Arabidopsis thaliana: one gene and its partners. The protein of the gene in region 3 interacts with the protein of the main gene of each other region in a pairwise test. Each region holds a gene or a part of one and is shown on either strand. Other genes may lie near its edges. The genes, in order: MYB94, AT5G04170, AT1G67170 and AT3G13990.

Evidence for each region.
Region 1: the proteins of AT1G67170 (region 3) and MYB94 interact in a two-hybrid assay, tested with the Arabidopsis thaliana proteins (one large-scale study listed by BioGRID).
Region 2: the proteins of AT1G67170 (region 3) and AT5G04170 interact in a two-hybrid assay, tested with the Arabidopsis thaliana proteins (one large-scale study listed by BioGRID).
Region 4: the proteins of AT1G67170 (region 3) and AT3G13990 interact in a two-hybrid assay, tested with the Arabidopsis thaliana proteins (one large-scale study listed by BioGRID).

Annotation. Positions count from the first base shown.
Region 1 is NC_003074.8:17,538,736-17,543,150, reverse strand, and holds MYB94 (myb domain protein 94), read left to right. Parts: upstream 1-1,843; 5' UTR 1,844-2,115; coding exon 2,116-2,248; exon of another isoform or gene 2,249-2,416; coding exon of another isoform or gene 2,417-2,531; coding exon 2,532-2,661; intron 2,662-2,785; coding exon 2,786-3,524; 3' UTR 3,525-3,862; downstream 3,863-4,415. UniProt on the Arabidopsis thaliana protein: Transcription activator involved in the activation of cuticular wax biosynthesis under drought stress. Binds directly to the promoters of genes involved in cuticular wax biosynthesis. Transactivates WSD1, KCS2/DAISY, CER1, CER2, FAR3 and ECR genes.
Region 2 is NC_003076.8:1,143,740-1,148,333, forward strand, and holds AT5G04170 (Calcium-binding EF-hand family protein), read left to right. Parts: upstream 1-1,691; 5' UTR 1,692-1,839; coding exon 1,840-2,557; intron 2,558-2,918; coding exon 2,919-2,965; intron 2,966-3,067; coding exon 3,068-3,243; intron 3,244-3,326; coding exon 3,327-3,345; intron 3,346-3,675; coding exon 3,676-3,780; 3' UTR 3,781-4,042; downstream 4,043-4,594. Other genes in the region: AT5G04160 (Nucleotide-sugar transporter family protein), read right to left, coding at 16-119, 589-1,038; ACA3 (alpha carbonic anhydrase 3), read right to left, coding at 4,168-4,287, 4,378-4,431, 4,517-4,594. UniProt on the Arabidopsis thaliana protein: Potential calcium sensor.
Region 3 is NC_003070.9:25,125,291-25,130,106, reverse strand, and holds AT1G67170 (sarcolemmal membrane-associated protein), read right to left. Parts: upstream 2,935-4,816; 5' UTR 2,724-2,934; exon of another isoform or gene 2,676-2,723; intron 2,412-2,675; 5' UTR 2,381-2,411; coding exon 1,797-2,380; intron 1,664-1,796; coding exon 1,518-1,663; intron 1,419-1,517; coding exon 1,327-1,418; intron 1,220-1,326; coding exon 962-1,219; 3' UTR 650-961; downstream 1-649. Other genes in the region: AT1G67180 (zinc finger (C3HC4-type RING finger) family protein / BRCT domain-containing protein), read right to left, coding at 1-8; AT1G67160 (F-box/kelch-repeat protein, putative (DUF295)), read left to right, coding at 3,009-4,180. UniProt on the Arabidopsis thaliana protein: Has no transcriptional activation activity.
Region 4 is NC_003074.8:4,624,801-4,632,668, reverse strand, and holds AT3G13990 (dentin sialophosphoprotein, putative (DUF1296)), read left to right. Parts: upstream 1-2,055; 5' UTR 2,056-2,285; coding exon 2,286-2,463; intron 2,464-2,832; coding exon 2,833-2,876; intron 2,877-3,250; coding exon 3,251-3,422; intron 3,423-3,761; coding exon 3,762-3,894; intron 3,895-4,300; coding exon 4,301-4,827; intron 4,828-5,028; coding exon 5,029-5,368; intron 5,369-5,465; coding exon 5,466-5,727; intron 5,728-5,807; coding exon 5,808-5,903; intron 5,904-6,069; coding exon 6,070-6,531; intron 6,532-6,628; coding exon 6,629-6,961; 3' UTR 6,962-7,286; downstream 7,287-7,868. Other genes in the region: ATBRXL2 (DZC (Disease resistance/zinc finger/chromosome condensation-like region) domain containing protein), read left to right, coding at 1-28, 713-848, 946-1,337, 1,421-1,499.

The DNA of each region.
Region 1 (4,415 bases), on a different chromosome or scaffold from region 3:
CTATATTAATACAATTTTTTTTTTCTTTTTGCTAAGAATATCATTATTTTATAAAAAATGTACTTAGGTCTACAATAATTGAAATGTAGACCTAAAATGTTGAAAATATTTTCTTATCTTCAAATACCTTAATTCTTATATAAAAAGAAATCGACGCATAGCATGATACTCAGCCTCGGTAAAATTAAAAGCATAATCTTAACCTTAAGAACCAGACAAGAAGTTTTCTGTTGAATTCTAATCAATATTATAAACGATACCAACAACGTAAAATAATTTCGAAATATACAATTCAATTTCTGATATTCAGTATTACAATATAACTAGTTATACTTTAACAACAAATAAATATAACTAGTTAGAGGTGTCTATGTGACGATTTTAGTCAAAATTATTAATACCATCATCCTCGGGACATGGGTTACGTAATACAAAAAGACGTGGCGTATGGGGTTTCAACCTATTTTGTTCAATGAAGTCTCTACGGTCCGTTGAATTTGTATCTATTGTACGTAGTATCTTCAGACGATTTTTTCATATTGTATTATATAATATTTATGTTAATTATTTAGATACGTATAATATTATTTCCTATCCAATTTAAAAGCTCAATACACAACGACGACGCGCTTTGCAACATTCCTCTCGTTTCTTGTAAAGTTTTTGAAATCCTTAAACTGATTTTTAAACCAATTCTTAGTGTATGAGATTACAATCATTATTGTTTTACAAAAAAAAAGTTTATCGATCTAAATATACCAACAAGTCCAACATCACCAAAAGATCTATATGTGTGGACATTTTCCTTATTGGGAATGTGGGGATATGTGTTTCGATTATCTTTTATCAACCGTTCAATTCAATTACCTACAAAAGCTCACAAGTCACACCTGACACCACTAATTAACATTTTTACATGTTCGACTAAATTCGCATCAATTCAAATTTAACTTCTTTTTTTTCTTCTTTTAAATAATAAATTTTGCTACTTATTCTGTGTTTTGTTGATGTCTATATTTGATTGTTCATGAGAATTTGACGGGATTGAAACCAAAATATTTGGTTTGATTTTAGTTAAGTTCACTCAATTTTGATATATGCTAAGTCGACTTATTAAGTGGTTACTAGTTTTATATATTTTGAGATCATGTAATAGTTTTCATATGATATGTATACCAATTTGATCACAACATAACTCACAAAATATCAATATTTTTAGAGAGACAGATAATTAGTTTAAATTCCGGTTGGTTCTCAATAACGCAGGAAGGACATTGTAAAATCATGCCACATATATGCATGCAAGTGGAAAATCCAAATTTACAAATTCATATTATGAAAATCCTTTTATTGTTTAATTCATGTATGCTTTTCCAAATGTATAATTAGAAGGTTTAATTACATAAATAGAAGTTATATACTCATTTCACTCTCATTGTGGACCCATGCATAAATGCAATCAAAGTCTTTGAAGTCTAAACCCAATCAAATTGATGAACACCTAATAAAATGATACATGCACATATGTTCTCGTGTGGAGACAAAATTAAGGGTTTATTTGCGATAATATGAAATGACTAATTACAAAGAGAAAATAGTAGGCTAATTTTAGAGAGAGAAAGCATGGAGTAATGGTGGAGAGAGAGAGAGAGGAGGCTGACTTTGGAGAGCAAGAGAGTAAATGCATTTGGCTGTCCATGTTGACTCTTTGATAGCAAAACCCCACTCTTCATTATTGTTACTTTTAACTCTATTATTATTGCTACTAATTCACTCTTCAGCTTAAACCTCTCTCTCTCTCTCTCTCTCTCTCTCTCTCTCTCTCTCTCTCTCTCTCTCTCTCTCTCTCTCTCTCTCTCTCTCTCTTTGGCTGTATAAATATACACAAGCTCTCTCTCCACATCTTCAGACAAAACCAACCACCACTTGTACCTCTTTGTCTTAAGTACTCTTTAACCCTACAATTTCCTAAGCTCTCAAGCCACAAAAAACCACAAACCGTTCTTCACCAATATATATATCTGATCATCATCAAAGTCCTTCTCTCTGCTCATACCACAAACCGTTCCATTCTTCCCCTAATCACAAAGTGATATTTACATAGAGAAGATAGAGATGGGAAGACCACCATGCTGTGACAAGATTGGAGTGAAGAAAGGACCATGGACACCAGAGGAAGATATCATCTTGGTTTCTTACATCCAAGAACATGGTCCTGGAAACTGGAGATCTGTGCCTACTCACACAGGTATCTTCTTCTATCTTAATATTATGTTTTTTTAATGAACAATAGTAATATTTTAATTTCAATTGTTAACCCCTATACTCTTCAGAAGTACCCTTTAATGTTTTTTGTTTTTTTCTTGGGTTTGTGATTGTTTTGTTCTGGCTTCCACTTGGTTGGTATGATCATTTAATGAAAAGGAAAAATTGTAATAATATCCGATTTATGGCACCAGCTTTTTTGTCCATATATCACAAATTAATTACTCTTTTAATGAAATTATCTTGTTGTTGTTGTGGTGATTTAGGTTTGAGGAGATGTAGCAAAAGCTGTAGATTGAGGTGGACTAATTATCTTCGACCTGGGATCAAGCGTGGAAATTTCACCGAGCATGAAGAGAAGATGATTCTCCATCTTCAAGCTCTTTTGGGAAACAGGTAAATACATACATATTCACATGCACATGATCTATAAAAGTATACAAATTCTTTTATTTTTTTGGGTATGCATAAAGATAAGGTTTTGAACTTTAAATAACTTGGGGACCAAATAATTATGAAGGTGGGCAGCTATAGCATCATATCTTCCAGAAAGGACAGACAATGATATAAAGAACTATTGGAACACTCATTTGAAGAAAAAGCTCAAGAAGATGAATGATTCTTGTGATAGTACTATCAACAATGGCCTTGATAATAAAGACTTCTCCATATCAAACAAAAACACTACCTCACATCAAAGCAGCAACTCCAGTAAAGGTCAATGGGAGAGAAGGCTTCAGACAGATATCAACATGGCTAAACAAGCTCTTTGTGATGCCTTGTCTATTGACAAACCACAAAACCCAACTAATTTTTCTATTCCCGATCTTGGTTATGGTCCATCATCTTCTTCGTCCTCTACCACCACCACCACCACCACCACGAGAAACACTAATCCATACCCATCTGGGGTCTATGCTTCAAGTGCTGAGAACATTGCTCGTTTGCTTCAGAATTTTATGAAAGACACACCAAAGACCTCGGTGCCCTTGCCGGTTGCAGCCACCGAGATGGCTATCACCACGGCAGCTTCGAGCCCTAGCACAACCGAAGGAGACGGAGAAGGGATTGACCATTCTTTGTTCAGCTTCAACTCCATAGATGAAGCTGAAGAGAAGCCTAAACTAATAGACCATGACATTAATGGTCTAATTACACAAGGCTCTCTTTCTTTGTTCGAGAAATGGCTCTTTGATGAGCAAAGCCACGATATGATCATCAATAACATGTCACTAGAGGGTCAGGAAGTGTTGTTCTAGAAAGCATTAAAGTTTGACGATTTGCTTGAGGAACCACGAGGCTTAGTTATAAACAATTTGTATAATTAAGTACTCTTTAGTTTTGTTTTCAATCCTTATTATGATCATATTGCAGTAATTAGGGATTTTAGTCTTTAGTAGTAACTCTTAAGTTTTAACACATTTTTCTCTATCTTTTTAGTAGTAACTCTTTATTTTTTCCTTAAATCTTTGTCGACGTGGAGATGATATCTTCTATGTAGTAGAAACTCAAAAGTGTACATCATCTTTATTAATGTAACGTCTTTTTAATCGTGTGACTCATTTGGTTATACAAATTCATGTCACTTAATTAGTATTGATATGGTTAGGTTTCAGATTTTATGTTTCCATAAACTTCAATCAGTAGGTAGAACAAACTTTTCTCCTCATTCATTATATAGATTAAGATTACTTTAAACTGTTTAATGTACTAAATAATGAAGTTCTATAATAAAGATATAGGTTCTTTTACTGGTGAGATATTTCATTAAACAAACAAAAAATGAGTTGTTACTAAAAGAAAATTAAAGAGCAAAATCTAGTTTTGTATCCGATTATAGGAGGCAAAATCTAGTGATTCATAGAATTATGTAAAACTAATAAAATAAAGCTGCTAATTAACAGGAGAGGCAAAAAAAGAAGAAAAAAGTAGTGAATTTAATGCAGAAGAAAATGTGAGTGTTTGTTTGACTTATGCCTGTGTTGAGCACAACGAGCATGATCCAAGTAGAGATGCTTTACCTTAGAGACATCACACATATTTTAATGTCACACTGTCTCACACCCAACTCGTTGACTTTTTTTTTGCTTGAGTCTCTAATAAATTTCGGGCTTAGTAAATTAATTGGCTGAAAATGGAATTTATGGAAT
Region 2 (4,594 bases), on a different chromosome or scaffold from region 3:
TGATATATTACTTACCCCTCTGAAGAAAGTAAGATGCCTTGAAGAACAGATTTAAAGGCTCTTGCCGCAGTAGCACTAATGCACATTATGAACCCAAACCAGTGAAATCCTGGCTCACCCTGCAATGTAAAACTGGTACTTAGATCAAGATCATACATACAAAAAATAGCAATAAGATCGTCTCTTCACAATGATACAAATTCAAAACACACAAAACAAGGATATGATATAACCACTTGACAAGCTTCAGAGAAGTACAAAAACAGTATAAAGATATCACCTTTACGGAGAAATAAGGAAGGTTAGATCCCAAAATGATGTTCTACCAAATTCTACACCTGATTAAACCATAAAAGGCTGAAGCTTTTTAGATAACAACAACACTCAAATTTGCCCTGATTTCAAAGTTTAGACCTTTGTCCAAGTTTAGGTCTTTCAACATTAACATCTATTTACGGATCAGTGATCTGAATCCAAATTGGATCTTTCCAAAAAAAAACATGAATTTCAAATCTAGGGAGGTCCAGGAAACCTAACATTCAACACTGACATTGTTAAGAGAATTGAGAACAGAACAAAAAGGCTTACCCCACTGGCGATGACGACACCGGCGACGACAGGGACGAGAGCACCATAAGTAACCCAAGCTTCTCTCTTAAAGGTCATAAGATAAGCAAACAGAGCCGTGAAAAACGGCGTCGTAGCACCGACGGCTTGATTGAAAGAGACAGGAAGGTAACGAAGGGAGATGTTACCACCGACGACGGAAGCACAAAAGACGATGCTGAGAGTAGCAACCTTAAGGAATTGAGAACGAGATTTGAGATGTTGGAGAGGAACAAGCTTGAGGAAAACAATGGAGATGTAGCTAAGGATAGCGCAAGCGGACATGTGACACATTGTGAGAAAAATCGGGAATTTGAATCCGTAATTCGAGAGAAGGAACTTGTTGAGGAGAAGAACACCGATGTTTGAAGAGTACCATGAGATGATTAATGTCGATATGAACAGGGTTTGTTTCTTCGCAGACGACGACATTGTTGTTATGTTTTCTGATCTGGGTTCTTCTTCTTCCTCGACGAGATCGAGATTTCGTTGAGAGAATGAGAGAGAGAGAGAGAGAAAGAGAAAACGAGAGAAATCAGGTCCTTACTTGGAGCATGGAACGGCAAGGACACAAAAAGCTTTTAGATGAACAAATAAAGTTAAGCCTTTGCTTTTATTAATTAATGTCTAACTAAGTAACCCTTGTATTTGTAACGTATTATTTGCTTGTTAATTAAATTAAGTAGATAATATCAAAATCGTTGCCTAAATAACGACGATATTATCAAATCGATATTTGTATTGTGAAACTATATGGATTTGGTTAAAAGATTTAGAGGTTATGGTGAAGAAAATTACATTCAAGTAAGAGTATATAATACTACTATTTTTTTATGTTTCATGAAATATGATAATTTTAATAAGATAAAATATATGAAGATAATTCTGTTGAGGCTATTTGAAATTAATTACAACACAAATCAAACGAACTAATACAATATATCAAACCGTTCGAAATTAGTGTCTTAAACCGAACTAAAACCCCCGCTAATTATAGTGTCGGTTAGATCTAATTCCAATGGCATTATTGTAAATAGTTTGAAATTAGAGAGAAATTTCCCAAGAGTGTCCTTGACAATCTGACACAAGCTTGAGGTCAACTAAATATCACATTCAAAGCTTTGATTTTTATTTTCTCTTTCGACGAAAATCTCAAAACTTTAAGATCCTTTATTTCTGATCTCTCTTCGAAGTTTCGGTTTTTGTTTTCTTAATTGTCAAGTCATTTCATCGATGTCAGGATATCCTCCGACTAGCCAAGGTTACGGTTACGGTTACGGCGGCGGTAATCAACCTCCACCACCTCAACCACCTTACTCTTCCGGCGGAAACAATCCTCCCTACGGATCATCAACAACCTCTTCTCCTTACGCTGTACCCTACGGCGCATCTAAACCACAATCATCATCCTCTTCTGCGCCGACGTACGGATCTTCATCATACGGAGCACCGCCTCCTTCAGCTCCGTACGCGCCTTCTCCAGGAGACTACAACAAGCCGCCAAAGGAGAAACCATACGGAGGAGGCTACGGAGCTCCACCACCGTCTGGATCTTCAGATTACGGAAGTTACGGTGCTGGACCTCGTCCGTCGCAGCCGTCTGGGCACGGTGGAGGATACGGAGCTACTCCACCGCATGGGGTTTCTGACTATGGAAGTTACGGTGGTGCTCCACCTCGTCCAGCGTCTTCTGGTCACGGTGGCGGATACGGAGGTTATCCTCCGCAAGCCTCTTATGGAAGTCCTTTTGCTTCTCTGATTCCGTCAGGTTTTGCTCCGGGGACAGATCCGAATATAGTGGCTTGCTTTCAGGCTGCAGATCAAGATGGTAGTGGCTTTATTGATGATAAGGAGCTTCAAGGAGCTCTCTCTTCTTATCAACAGAGATTCAGTATGAGAACTGTTCATCTTCTTATGTATCTATTCACCAATAGCAATGCTATGAAAATCGGTGAGTTTTCTGATTGATTTGACCCAAATTTGCTTTAGATTCAACAAGGATTGTTAGTTTCTGAAGTTTTTTATCTCTATGATTCTTGTTCAGTATCGTTATTATCTGTCTAAGATGCAAAACTCAAAAGATTCATACTTTGGGTCATATCGTCAGGGTTTTTCTATTACCATGTTGGCAAAATTAACAATATTTGTGGACTTCTCCTTTAATTACGTGCAAAAGAGTATCCCACTGTCTCTATGATCTTGTTGAATCATTTGGTTTCATTATTTTAGTTCTAGTTGAAGTCATAAATAATCATTTAGTTCTGGTTTTGAATTGGTGTTCTTTACTGACTTGTGAAGTCTACATGTTGCAGGACCTAAGGAGTTTACTGCACTTTTCTACAGTCTTCAGAACTGGAGGGTAAGTTCCAATTGTTTTTATTGTTTTCATTACTTTGTTTGGTTTCTGGTAACCATTATGCAAGATTGTTGGGATATTCACTCTTGTGGTTGGTTTTGGCAGTCCATTTTTGAGAGGTCTGATAAGGACAGGAGTGGAAGAATAGATGTGAATGAGCTGAGAGATGCGCTTTTGAGCCTTGGGTTTTCGGTTTCTCCTGTGGTTTTGGATCTGCTGGTTTCCAAGTTTGACAAAAGCGGAGGCAAGAACAGGGCTATCGAATATGACAATTTCATTGAGTACGTTATTCTTTCCGTCTTCTTCTTCTTGCTGTGGCCGTTGCTTATTTATTATTAACGGTATCTGTTTTGCCTTGATGCAGGTGCTGTCTCACTGTTAAGGTACGCTCTCATTTACTCTTTTTATCTCTTATACATCTCCTAGATAAGTGCGCCTAGGTCAAATGAGATTGAAATCTTATTAGTTATAGAAATTAAGTCATTAACCCTGGGGAGAGTTAAACTCAAACTTGTCCTTCAGCCCGAATATCGAACTAAGTTTGTTAGTTTTGTCAAATGTGGTGAGGTTTAGGAGTCAGAACAGCAATGAGTTTGGCCTCACTAGTGATTGCATCTGAGACCGCAACAGTTCTTGTTACATTGTGGTTTGGTGATTCGAGTGTGGTATTTAGAAGTTTAGTAATCTGAATTGTAATATGATGGAAACTGCAGGGGCTGACAGAGAAGTTCAAGGAGAAGGACACAGCATACTCAGGCTCAGCTACTTTCAACTACGAAAGCTTCATGCTCACCGTCCTCCCCTTCCTCATCGCATAAGTTTTTTTTACGGTAACCCGTTTGCACATCTTCTGTTTTTTTGTATGTTCTTTGTTGTGTGAATGCTATTGTCAATGGAAGCTTTTCCGGTTTAGTTGAACTCAAGAGTTTATAAAAAAAATGTGAAATGTATAGTGAGAGATCTTGTGTTATAAAATAATCAAACAACTCATTATGGTTGGATATTATTACATCTTGTTTATTGGAATACATGTATAAAAGAAAAACTTTATGCATATAATATTGCGTAGTTTTATCTTTTAATCAAAAGAATAGTTAAAAAAAAATAGTTATGGCTCCCAATTTTCATACATCTTCAAAATTCTTTTCCGAATTTTCTTTGTATGGAAATTAGGGCTCGGAGTTGCCTTGTCCTATAAGACTGTCTTAGACCGGACCAACTCGTGGTATTCTTAGCCGTGGAGTTGGACTTGGACTGGACTGCTCGTTTAAATAAACCAGACGTCCGTTCAGAGGTTGAGCTGGTCTCGCGTTCTTCTCATAACCCTAGTTATTAACAAAATATGTTTAGTTAAAAAACAGAAATTCAAAAGTGTTCTTAGTAAATGTGTTTATATGAGAGTGTATAGTTCTTACACCGCGACGAGCATCTGTCAATACATCAATTTGCTCACGTGAAACAGTCCCCACCTGCATTTTTGAATATAGGCATACAAATTTGAGTCGGGATTTTATAGATTCTTGATATGGTTCAAGGTTTGCTAGAATTATTTACCTTGTTGATGATGGTCCACATGACATCTTCCGTGCAAGGAGGAGTCGTGAGAGAACCTCTGTATTCATAAAACTTTGT
Region 3 (4,816 bases):
TTTTCCATACCTACAAATATCAGACCCAAATGAAAAACGTAAATTGGGGATTGCAACAATTTCTTCTAAATCAAATTGTGCGATTAAACCCCTATATAGCCAAGGGGATTCAATATTGGGAAAAGCTTACATCTTTCGTATCAAATGGGCCAGAATCGGTAAACCCTAAACTTAAAATCGAGGTAACTGAACCAAATTTCAGCAATTGAATTGAGAAATCAAAAACCTTTTTACAGAAATCGAACAATGAAACCTTAGAAATTGCAATTTCTTTATTGGAGAAGAATTACCTGGTCTAATTGGTACAAAGTTGCTGCGATTATCTCTTTGTTTGCTTCAATCTCTCTTCCCCTTCTTTCTCAGGTCCGTGACAATGGAAGCAAATGGCTAAAGGAGAAGCGAAATTTAGATGGGAGTCTGGCGGGAATTTAAAAATATCAAAAAATTTCAATAATTTTATCGGACGGTGTTTCAAAAATATTTTTTTTTTAAAACAACTCGTATTCTGTCCAAAAATAAAATAAATAATATATATATATATATGAAATGGGCCCTTCTCACAAAATAAAATAAAAAATAAAATGGGCCCTTCAAAAGTAAACTAAAACTAGAAACTACAGTATTACAAAGATAAATTTAACTTTCGATTCATTTGTAAACTTTTTAACTGAGTGAAACATAGAGTCATAGAGACAAAATGGTGAAGGGCAAACAACAAATTTCTCTTTCTTTGTTTTTTCTTTCCCGATGTTACATCTCTCTGTATCACAAAACTTGTTGAAAACCGTCTCACAAAAGTCAAGCTCTCAACAAAATCAGTTAAACAATAGCACTCAACGTTCACCACTGTACCAACTTCTCTTTACCCATAAAGATTATGGGACCAAACAGGCAACAATTCCACAGTTGAAGGAATCTGTAGCTGGTGAGTTATTTATATATGTACTCTTAGCTGGTGGACTCATCTGCGACTAGGGTTTCCGTGTGTACCGGCGTAAGGAGTATTGTTAGATGGTCCAGGTGGGAATGGAGCGCCGTAAGGTCCTGTTGGTAACCTTGTTGTTGGGTCATATGAACCAGGAGGGCCTCTTGGAAAGTTGTAACCGGGTCTTTGAGGGAAGTATCCTGGCTGAGTTACTCCTTGATAAGGGTATTGAGCTGCGCCAACAACTGAATTTGGTCCAGTTGCGTTACCAGCTACTGGTTGAGGAATATATCCCTGCAAAAGTAACAAAACGTATATAGCTCAAGCACATCTAAATCAACTAATGTGGAAAACTATAATGGGTCTCAAAAAGACGAGCTAGCAAAGAGAAACTCACGAACCTGAGGACCAAAAGCATCTTCATAATAACCGTTTCCACTCTGATGTCCAGAAGCGTCAATTTCAGCATTTATGTTGTTACCATAAGGGCCACCTTCATTTGATTGACAGATACAACTCTTAAATTACTGAAAAAAGTTCGTGGAACAATGAAGCTAAATAGAGCAGAAACTAACTAAATAATTCAATATACCTGCTCTTCTATCTGAATTTGCATTGTTCATCAACTGTGCTTGAAGTTTTTCAACTTCCCTAGCCATAGTCATGTAGTTCTTCTCCATTGCCTGAAGTGACTCGAGATGGTCATTATAAAACTTCTTCTCATAGTCATATGTTGCCCTGCCAGAATCAGATAAAATCAAATTCATCCCAACCTTCATAAGAGGATGATACAAAAGCTGACAAACTCAATAACTATAAGAAGAGTGTCGGGAGCCAGTGATATCAGAAACTTCCATTCTACAACCATTACCTGCACTGCTGGTACTCCTGTCTTAGATTCTCAAGTTCAGACATCAGAGCAGGTATTTGCTGCACATCAGAACGAGATTTTTGAAGTTCCTGAGTCAACTGATGCACTTTAGACATAAGCTCCTCCCTAGCCACAACAAGACTCCGTGCCTCAGCACGTGCTTGTTGCATCTCCAACTTAACAGCCTCAGATTTCTGAAGCTCAGTCTCCATTTTAGCAACTTTCTCAGCAAGACCCATCATCCGTTGCTCTCTCTCGGACTTCATCGACCCAATTTGCGCGTGCAACATCTGTATTTCATGCTGTGCTGCTGCTAACTCTTGTCTTAAACTACCATGAGTTCCACCAAGTCTCTGATTCTCTATAGCAAGTCTCTGTAATTCCCCGTGTTGTGCCACAAACTTTTGCTCCATAACTTCAGGTGGAGGTAACATGTTGAAGGAAGGATACACACCTTGAGCAGCAGAAGGTGGTATAGCACCGTGATTACCGAAAGTCTCCGGATGCGCTATACAGCCACCGGGACCTGGAAGAGGACGCCTCATATGATGATGAGATGGATGGATTCTTCCTTTGCTTTCCATTAAACAAAGGCTTCTTCAAATTCCTTATCAACTGAGAAAAACATAAGACAGAAGATTAAGAGTGACACACATTAACACAATCTGCAGAATCAATGCACCTAAGTAAAAATATTCAAATCAATGTCTCTCTTTTTTTTGTTTGCCATTGAAATCAAACTTATTCATAGGCAAACAGAACAATCATCAAATTAAATTAGGGCAGGGAAATCAATTGATTTGAAAATTCCCGACCAAATTAGGGTTCTAGATCACCGAAATCAAATTCGAAGAAACGATTTAGATCCTGACTAATTACCATTAAATCCTGAAAAGGTATAGGTTTGATGACTTTATCGATTCGTACCTTGGAATGGAAGAAGCTCACTGGGATTATTTGATCGAGTGTTGGGATAGAGCGAAGAAGACTAAGCAAACGACGGCGAAGGTTTTTTTTTTCTTTTCTTTTGCCGGCGTGAATTTTTTTTTTCCTACAAGTTAAGATTTCTAATCCAACGAAACCCATTAATATATGGGCCTATTTTACATAATGGCCCAATAGCCTCATTAACTTTATTGACTCATCTTCTCCCCCACGTCTCTGAGCACAAACCCTAAGATTGAAAATCGTGAAATAGCACAAAAGAAGGAGATGAGCGATTCCGACGGAAAAAATATGGAAGGACGATTCGAAGCGGCCTATATCGTGGACCTAGTTAGATTAATCTTGGAGCGCTTGAGCTTCGTTGATTTTCATCGAGCGAGATGCGTTTCTTCAACATGGTATGTTGCTTCGAAATCAGTCATCGGAGTAACAAATCCAACAACTCCATGGATCATTCTTTTTCCAAACAAAAATGTCGAAAACAACGGTTCATGTAAGTTGTTTGATCCTCATGAAAACAAAACCTACATAATCAGAGATTTAGGGTTTGATATGTCTACGAGTCGTTGTTTAGCGAGTTCCGGTAGTTGGTTCCTTATGTTCGACCATAGAGCTGATTTTCATCTTTTGAATCTTTTTACTCGAGAGAGGATTCTTCTTCCGTCTCTCGAATCAATCGATGGAGAACGGTATATGCGATTCAAGAGACCCATTAGCGGTAGCCATATAGAAATAGACAAAGCGGTTCTGTGGGTAGATGACAAAAGCAGAGATTACTTTGTGTTTTGTAATCTTTCTAGTTATGTAGCATATCATCACAAGAGAGGAGATGACAACAATAGCTGGAAAGTTCTTCAACCAATAAAGCATCAAGGCTGTGTTGATATGGTGTTTAAAGAAAGCAAGCTTTACATGATTAGTGCACATCAATGTCTCACTGTTTTTGATTTCTCCGGTGGTGTTTCTCCAGTAGAAATGGAATGTGCAAGTTTCGGATCGTCTGTGTGTGTAAATAGATTTCATATGAAGTATTTCAGCAATCTTGCTGTGACTTTGTCTGGAGAAGTTTTGATCATTGTAGGTGGTAAAATGGATAGTTCTCCAGAGGCTAAATGCGTCTTCACTGTCAATAAGATGGATCCAAAATCATCAGAATTTACAGTACTAATCAAGTCTATAGGGGACGAGGCATTGCTTTTGGATTTAGGAATTACGGTTCCGGCCAAAGATGGAGTTATGAGAGATTGCATATATTTTAGTAATGATCAGTATCATAGATGTTGTGGGATTAGTCTACGCGATGGTTATAACGCTGACCGTATTTGCGTTTACCAAATCGGAAGCGATTATGTGGTCCAAGAGTTTGAACATCTAACTACTTCCTCGACAAAACTTTTCAAGGATGCTCGTTGGTTTTTCCCCACTTTTGGTGATAAATGGTTGTGAATTAATACTATCAAGTTTTGTCTTTTTGGTAAGGGTGGATTATTTGTTTTTGGGTTTGATTAGCAACACGGCTTTGATACTTTCAGCTTTTTGGTTCCACTTTTTCTTACTGCTATTTTGTTATGTTTTTAGCTGTTTTTTAAAATTGCTTTTTCGTACTTCGTACTACTATTTTGTTATTCTGATTTCATATGAAACCTAGCTCAAAATTAAAATACATTATTTGGAAATTCATAACAAATAGTGTTGCAGTTAATCATATGGAGTTTATCGCGATGAGCCTATGATGAACAAACTAGAATATTGGCCTACGTACCTTCTAGACTTCTGGCCTATGAAATAAAAGTTTTGTAATTTTCTTATGTAATTTAATCCCTCACTTTTTGAATGAAAAGACGATTTTATGGCAAGGTTAACGCTTCAATTTGTTGACTATTATTTTCCCACTTTCTTTACTAAATATTTAGTTAGTCACTCATAAATTATATTCAATGAATCAAAAAACACAAGTGCGGTTGCTTTGTGAGCAGACCAATTACAAGGCGTCGTCCCTAAGAGAACAAGAATAATAATTTTTCTCTCTATATATTTGAAATTAAGAACATTAAAAAATAAAAATAAAATAAAAA
Region 4 (7,868 bases), on a different chromosome or scaffold from region 3:
GGAATGATATGAAGCGGATTCGGTTCAGGTAATTTTTAACTGTTTTGTAGGATTTACACTAAGTAAAAGTTTGGATATTGGACTTAATCAAGATGGTACAATATGTTTCCAATCAGGAATATTGAAGATGATACTCAAATGAACTAATCCATACTGTTTTGAAATTGTTTAATTTGATTTTGGAAGTAGAGATGTGTGGTTCTTGGAGACAAGCAATGTGAGAGTACAGTTGATATTTAGGATATTATTATGTGAGATTTCTGTGTTGGAAACTGTTGCTGCTTTCATTTTTCTTGAATCGATTGAAGTGGTCCCAAACCATTTCTTATAATTATGAGAACTTGTACATCCTTTTTGCCAAGAAAGGTCTTTGAGATGTGGGTTATATTTCGGTAGTTGAATCCGATGGAGAACTTAAATGAATTCCCCAAGGACAATTGTGTGGGGAAGTGTTTGTGAATTTCGTAAAGTTCTTTTTGTATGTGGAACATATAATGAGAGCAAGATGATCTAACTAACTTTCTTCATGGCAAGAGGAACACTTCAGCTCCCTAGGATTGATATTTCTAGATTCTAGTTTTGACAATTTACTGCAGATCCCTTGAGTTTTGTGAACCTAAGACTGTTAACCTGGTAGCTCTTTGGTTCTGTATTGTATATGGTTAAGTCAGCTCCTAATTTGTTGATTTCTTCAAATTTGTATTACTTGCAGCCGTGAAATGTTCGATAAATGGCAAGCTCAAAAGTGGTGGGCGGAGAATTTCGACAAGGTCATGGAATTATACAATGTACAGCAGTTCAATCAGCAGAGCGTCCCACTTCCAACTCCTCCTAGATCTGAAGATGGGGTATATGCACCCTCTTCACTTCTGAACACATGAATCTACTCATCAAAACCTGTCTTTGATACTTTGAGGTCTAACTAGTTTTAATTTGGTATACCAGAGCTCGCGAATTCAGTCTACCAAGAATGGTCCTGCAACTCCACCTCTGAACAAAGAATGCTCTCGAGGAAAAGGCTACGCTTCTTCTGGCTCACTCGCTCACCAACCAACAACCCAAACACAAAGTCGACACCATGATTCATCTGGTCTTGCTACAACACCAAAACTCTCTAGCATAAGTGGGACAAAAACCGAGACATCATCTGTTGATGAGTCTGCAAGAAGTAGCTTCTCAAGGGAAGAAGAAGAAGCAGATCATTCAGGGGAGGAGCTATCTGTAAGTAATGCAAGTGACATTGAAACAGAATGGGTGGAACAGGACGAAGCAGGTGTTTACATCACAATCAGAGCTTTACCAGATGGGACTCGCGAGCTTAGGCGTGTTCGCTTCAGGTAAAGATACATTACTTTCTCTGTTCCTTAGTAAAACCCTTTCAAAAGCAAGCACTTTAACAACATTGTCTTTGTGGTTGTAGCCGAGAGAAGTTTGGGGAAACGAATGCAAGATTGTGGTGGGAGCAGAACAGAGCTCGGATACAACAACAATACTTGTGATGACCGATGACGGTCGAAGGCTCTCTAGAGAAGAATCTGACACACACCAAAACAAAACACTTTTCTTTTATATGTTTTACTTGGAAAAAAGCTACAGAGTGATGGAAATAACTTGGGATTCAGATAATGAATGTGCTTTTTAGTTGGTGGTTGTTAGTACATCTCTTTCTCTTCTTTCTCATCTACATCTATCTATAAAGAGGAGGTATTAGTTTTACTGGATTTTCTTGGTGTTATTTTCTTAAGGTAATGTACTGTATATAGTTTAATACTAAGAAAATTCATATTATTGGATTTGAAAATTACACTTTGTGCACTTTATTACTTTTTCTCTAATTATATTGACCATGATTGGTGCTAATAATTATGGCATGTACTTAAATGTTCTGAATAAGAAATGTATAAAGTAAAAACCAGTTAAATTGCCAGCTAACTTGTATCTCCTTAGAAATTTCCATTTCTCACTTCTCCTTTGACTAATCTTTCTATTGAGTTATATTAAGGGTAAAATAGTCAATTAGGTTTATCCAATTAGTGAATTTGGAACCAATTTTTTCGACGCGTGAGAATAAATCCTAACTTCTTTTTTTTTTTTGTTCTCTTAAAGCCGTTCCCTCTTCTCTGTACTCGAAACCCTAGTAGTTGCTCTATCCGATTTTAGGGTTTAAGAGTCGAATCATTAGCATCTACCTTGATTACGCTGATCTCACTTGGTTTCGCTACTCGATCCTTGAATTTCTTTGTTTTTTGTGTGTTTCGGTTTATTCGATACGTCTTTGATCCGTAATGGTGACTGGGTCCAGAACTAGCGGTAATCGTGGGGTAGGACTCGATGATGAAGCGAAAAAGATGATTCAATCGATTAAGGAAGTTGTGGATAGTCACTCCGATGCTGATATTTACACTGCCTTAAAAGAAGCTAACATGGATGCTAACGAGGCTGTGGAGAAGCTGATTCATCAAGGTTTCTTCTCTCTTCATCTCTTTTTCTGCTTTCCTAGTTTGACGGAAGTTAGGGTTTTACTGTTTGTTCTCTGGTCCGCATTATCTTGATCACGATGAATGCTACAACATCTTGTTTGAGGCGTATGTAGAATGCTGTAGATAGGTTATGCAAATTTCGTTTGATGGAGTTCTGTTGATAATTCGATAGATGGATAACTCTTGTTTTCATTTCGATAATTTGTCAATTCTCTTCAGAATACTTCAATTACTATATACTTGAAATATTATTGGTCTTCTTTTCTTGGCTCTCGTTTCGTTGGGTGACTAATATGTGTGTTATTGTTGCCATCATAGTTTTGGTTCGCTAAAAAGCTTTTGTTTTGTTCAGATCCATTTCACGAGGTGAAGAGAAAAAGAGACAGGAAAAAAGAGGTGAGGTTACATATAACTGTTATGGTATCTTGTTCCCAGTTCTTCTCCTTTTTAACATTTTTGCCAATGCAACCACATTGTAGTTTTTTTGTTTGACTCTCCTTAGTCTTTTCGAAACTGCATTTGAAGAAGGTGACTAGATTTTTCATAATGTTAGTTGTGCTTGTGTGACTATTATATCTCATCGGATGTCTGCTGTGGCAAGCTATATTTTTTTTTTGTTTTGTTTAGTATTTTGTGTGCCTTCTAATTTAATTGATCGTCAAAAAAAATTTCAACTTTTCTAGCCATTCAAATAGTTTGATGAATTTGTAGAGATCATCAAGACACCTCTTGTATAACCTCTGATTTTTAGGGCGTTCCTTTGGTTTCAGGATACAGTATTTGTTGAGCCTGCCAACATAAAGAAACCTCTTGAAAATGTTACCAGTGAAGTGAAAGTTCGTACACAGCCTGAACATAATGTTCGGAGAGGAGGCTACAGTAGGAATTTCTTCCCCAGGAACGCTGCTCAACGAAATGCATCTCCTAGAAATCCTGCTACTGGTAAATCAATTTGATGATGATATACTTGCCAGTTTCTTTCGCATGCTTGTACAGTTGTACTAAAAATCTTTAATTTGTTTTAAGCTGTCTTTTGAATGGTTCGTAAACATAATCTATATAACGGCAGTATCAAATGAACTTGGTTAAATCCAGAAAAATATATGCAGGCAAGCAAAGGAAACGTAGAAGAAATTGTTTTGCGTTGATTTGTTTTTTTTTTTTAATCTTTGTTATTGGCCATTGGCGTGAGGCCTTCAAGTTTTATGTAATGTATTGACCATATTCACCTAGAAATGTTTTTCTGTCTGTTTGTAATTTGTTCGTTTCATGTTAGTGCAGGATCCAACAAAGAGTTTCGCGTTGTTAGGGACAACAGGTCTAATCCAAATGTTGATGAAGAGTTGAAGCATTCTTCTGCCCAGTCCTCTGGATCAAATATTAACAAAGTGGTTGCCACTGTGAACAAATTGGGGTATGTATCATCAGTTGTAATTTATCCTATTGTTCTTATTCTAGCATTTTTATCACTAACTTGCCTTCTTTTATACATGTGAAATAGAATGATTTGTTACTCTTGTAAAAATATTTTAAGGGAGTTAATTTGCTTTAGCTGTACTTTTCCAAAAAATAGTAAAGTAGGACTCTTTTTTTTTTTTTTTTTTTTTGTCAATGAACTCTTTAAGACAATAAGAAGCATAGATTAGTTTTGTGCCATACTGCCATTGGGTTTTGGTAGACGGAGATAGGAGTGTGTATGTTCACTTGGTAGGCATTCCTTTGCTAGCCCAACAAGGACTTCTTGTCTCATAATTTCAAGAAAACTATGCTGAATTTAAATAAGAAAATAAAATTTTCGCTCTATTTTAACTGTTTGCCAGCTCAAGAGGTGGTTTGGGCAATCGTAACTCTTCTGGGGCTCAAGATTCAACTGACGAGTGTAATGCTCCAGCAGATGCCAGGCTCAGACAGGCTGAAATTCGTCCTTTGCATTGTCCTGTCAATAAAGAACTCGGTGGAGTTACTTTGCCATCAACCAATTCAGTTCTTGGTGTATATTCGTCTTCCAAAGATCCAGTTCATGTACCTTCTCCTGTTTCTAGATCATCACCCGTGGGAGCTATTAAACGTGAAGTAAGGGGTGGAGGTTTAGGTGGAAAACCTTCTGAAAATGTTGGTAAAGATCCATCTGTGCCCTCTTTTTCAGGGTCCTCTATTAGAAAAAATGGACCTCCAAATGCACATCGACCATCTTCCCCAACTTCAAAGATTGATCACAGTCGAACTACTGCACGTGAGTCTGTTATGCCCAGTGGAGTGGAAAAGAATAGGTCATATTTGAACAGACAGCGTGGGAATAGAGGAAGCCAATATGCTAGAACACAACAAGTTGGTGGCCATACAAAGGGTAACTTATATGCAAATATTTATTAACCGAATGGATGTTGTGCAATTTCTTATTTGATTTCTGCTAGGCGACACTTTATTTTCTGTGTAGCTTCTGCTTTGAGTAATATAATCCCTTCTTTCAATCTATTGGGAATTCCTGGTGAGAAGCCATTTCCTGTCATGACTTCTGATATTCTTGATCAACCTGTACTTATTGCAGGAGCCTCACAGAACAAGGAGTGGAAGCCTAAATCTAATCAGAAACCTGTTGGACATAACCCTGGAGTAATTGGAACACCTACAAAGTCTCAAGCTCGTCGTCCTGCTGATAATTCCATAAATGTGGAAACAGAAGCCGTCAAGTTGCAGAATAAGCTTTCACATGTTCATATAAGTGAAAGTCAGAATGTCATCATCGCAGATCATATTCGTGTCCCGGAGACTGACCGCTGTCAGCTAACTTTTGGTAGCTTTGTTCAAGAGTTTAATTCCTCAAGGAATTCAGAATCTGCTTTCGAAGAATCACACTCTTCAGAAGAAGTTAGAGAATCTGATCGTAGGTAAGTTCTGACAGTTGGTGGGTTTTTTTTTGTACATTTGAATATAGTTTGAGATCACATGCATCTTCCCCAATTAACTTGGTGATATTGTTGACAGTTCGCCAGTTACTTGTCCTGAGGCTTCAGCAGATGGTCCGGGCGTTCTGCCTATCACTATTGATGATCATGTCAGAGTTTCTAGATCTGACTCACCCGTCTCGGCAGTATCTGAGCCACAGTTACCCGAACAGAAAGAAACTCATAGATCTGACAATTTGGATGCGTACTCGGGGATTGAATTACTCAATAGGAATGGTCCACCTTATACTCCTTTGGAGTTTGAACAGCAGCAAGATCCTCCGGAGTTGCAAAAATTTTCTGTAAGGGTTCTTGCAATTTTAACTCTTAAAAATCAAGGAAAGATAAATTCATTCAAAAATGACATGCTCTTCCTTTCCAGCAGGCTTATGACAATCATGGTAGTTATGAATTTCCGTACTTTAGTCCTGCAATGGATGAAACTGTACGAGTTCAAGGATTACCATCTCCACACGAGGTAATTTATGTTTCTGTTGTTAGTTGTTACTAGTTTGCCAGCATGAGTTGATGCGTAAGAGTCTAGTTAGCTCCTGTTTGAGCAGTTGGTTTGTGCATGTGTCATAGTTATCTTTTTTGTTTTATTAACTAGGAAAAACTGATCAAGTATCCTTTTGATAATGCAGCAGGGATTAAGTGCTCACATGTTAAATAATGCCCCACCATCCACTATTCCCATGTTACAGCAACAACAGCAGGCATCAATGCAACAGATGTATCCGCAGGTCCATGTTTCGCATTTTCCCAATCTCATGCCTTATCGTCAATTCCTTTCCCCAGTCTATGTTCCCCAAATGCCCATGCCAGGCTACTCAGGTAACCCAGCAGCATATGCACACCCTTCAAATGGCAATAGCTATGTGCTGATGCCTGGAGGCGGTTCTCATCTCGGTTCAAATGGTGTCAAGTATGGAATCCATCAGCAATATAAACCAGTTCCAACTGGTGGACCTGCGGGTTTTGGGACTTACAACAATCCTAATGGGTATCCAACTAATCCTCCCAATGTAGTTGGAAACGCTACGGGACTTGAAGATCCATCTCGCATGATAAATAAACATGGAAATATTTACGTTCCAAATCCTCAGGTAATGATAATTGATAAGTATGGTAGTTGTGCCCGAACTTTATGTTTTTACCAATTATTTTTTATTCTGATTCATGTCTCCTTATCTAACACTACAGGCTGAGACTTCTGAGATATGGATGCAAAATCCAAGAGATCTTTCAAGCCTTCAGTCTCCATATTACAACGTAGCTGGACAATCGCCTCATGGTGCTTATTTATCATCCCATACAGCACACCAATCGTTCAACCCAACTGCGCAATCATCTCACATGCAGTTCCAGGGTCTCTTCCACCCGTCACAGCCTGGTACGATGGCGAATCCGCACCACATGGGACCTGGCCTCAGTGGTAATGTTGGAGTCGGTGTCGTTCCCTCTCCTCCTCCGTCTCAAATTGGTACCTATCAGCAATCACAACTTGGTCATCCGAATTGGCCATCAAACTTCTGAAGAAAATCTAACCTTTGTCTTCTTGTCTAATGGATTATATAATAGCCAAAAGCAAATATTTTGATTCTCCTTATGAAACGCCAAACTCTGTTTTAATTAATCTTTATTTATTCAATGCATAAAATGTTCCCAGCTCTCAACAATTTGTCTATAAATGCTTTGTCTGCTTCCATAGCCCCTCATTATTTACAGCTGCAGGTATGGTGTTATTCTCCCATGGCGTCAAATTGTCAAGGTAAAGTCCTGTCCGTGCTTCTTAATCATTTACTGCTATTATAGTTTCGGTCGACTTCAAGAACCCTACAATGCATGTGAAGGTTTTTAAGTGTGGAACCCTGTGAGTGAAACATTGTTGCTTGGTGCTAGTGTTTCCCATTGTCAATGTTCTACAAGTATTAAAGAGAATTGTGTGTTTTGTTTAGCTGTTCAATGTTCTTCTTTGAGTTATGTGTCTTCTCTCTCCATTTCCTCATATTCCTTATTAAATTCTTGATAGAGAATCATTAGTTGTTGAGCTTGACCTAACTTTCCTCTAGCCTTTAGAATAGATTACAAATATTCTTAATCGGAGAACTAGTTGAAGCTCAGGCCTATAGGTTTTGATTATCTCCTTGATTACTTTAGTTTTTAGGTGTCATAGCACACTGTGTCATCATAACAAAAGAATCTAATTGATCGTTTTGTTGACATATTTAGAAAAGTAAATATACTTAGTTTGGGGAGGTGGGTCTTAATCAAGGAGCCAACTAGAGTTTACTTAGAGCCTAATTGGTACGGACTTTGATTCCTTCTCTGATTTAATAGGCCTCCTAAGTCCTACCTTATTGAGAAATGATTACTCTCTACGAATCTCTTGAGACTCCATGATGTTGAGTCACTAATACTCTATTAATTTGTCCCATTTTGA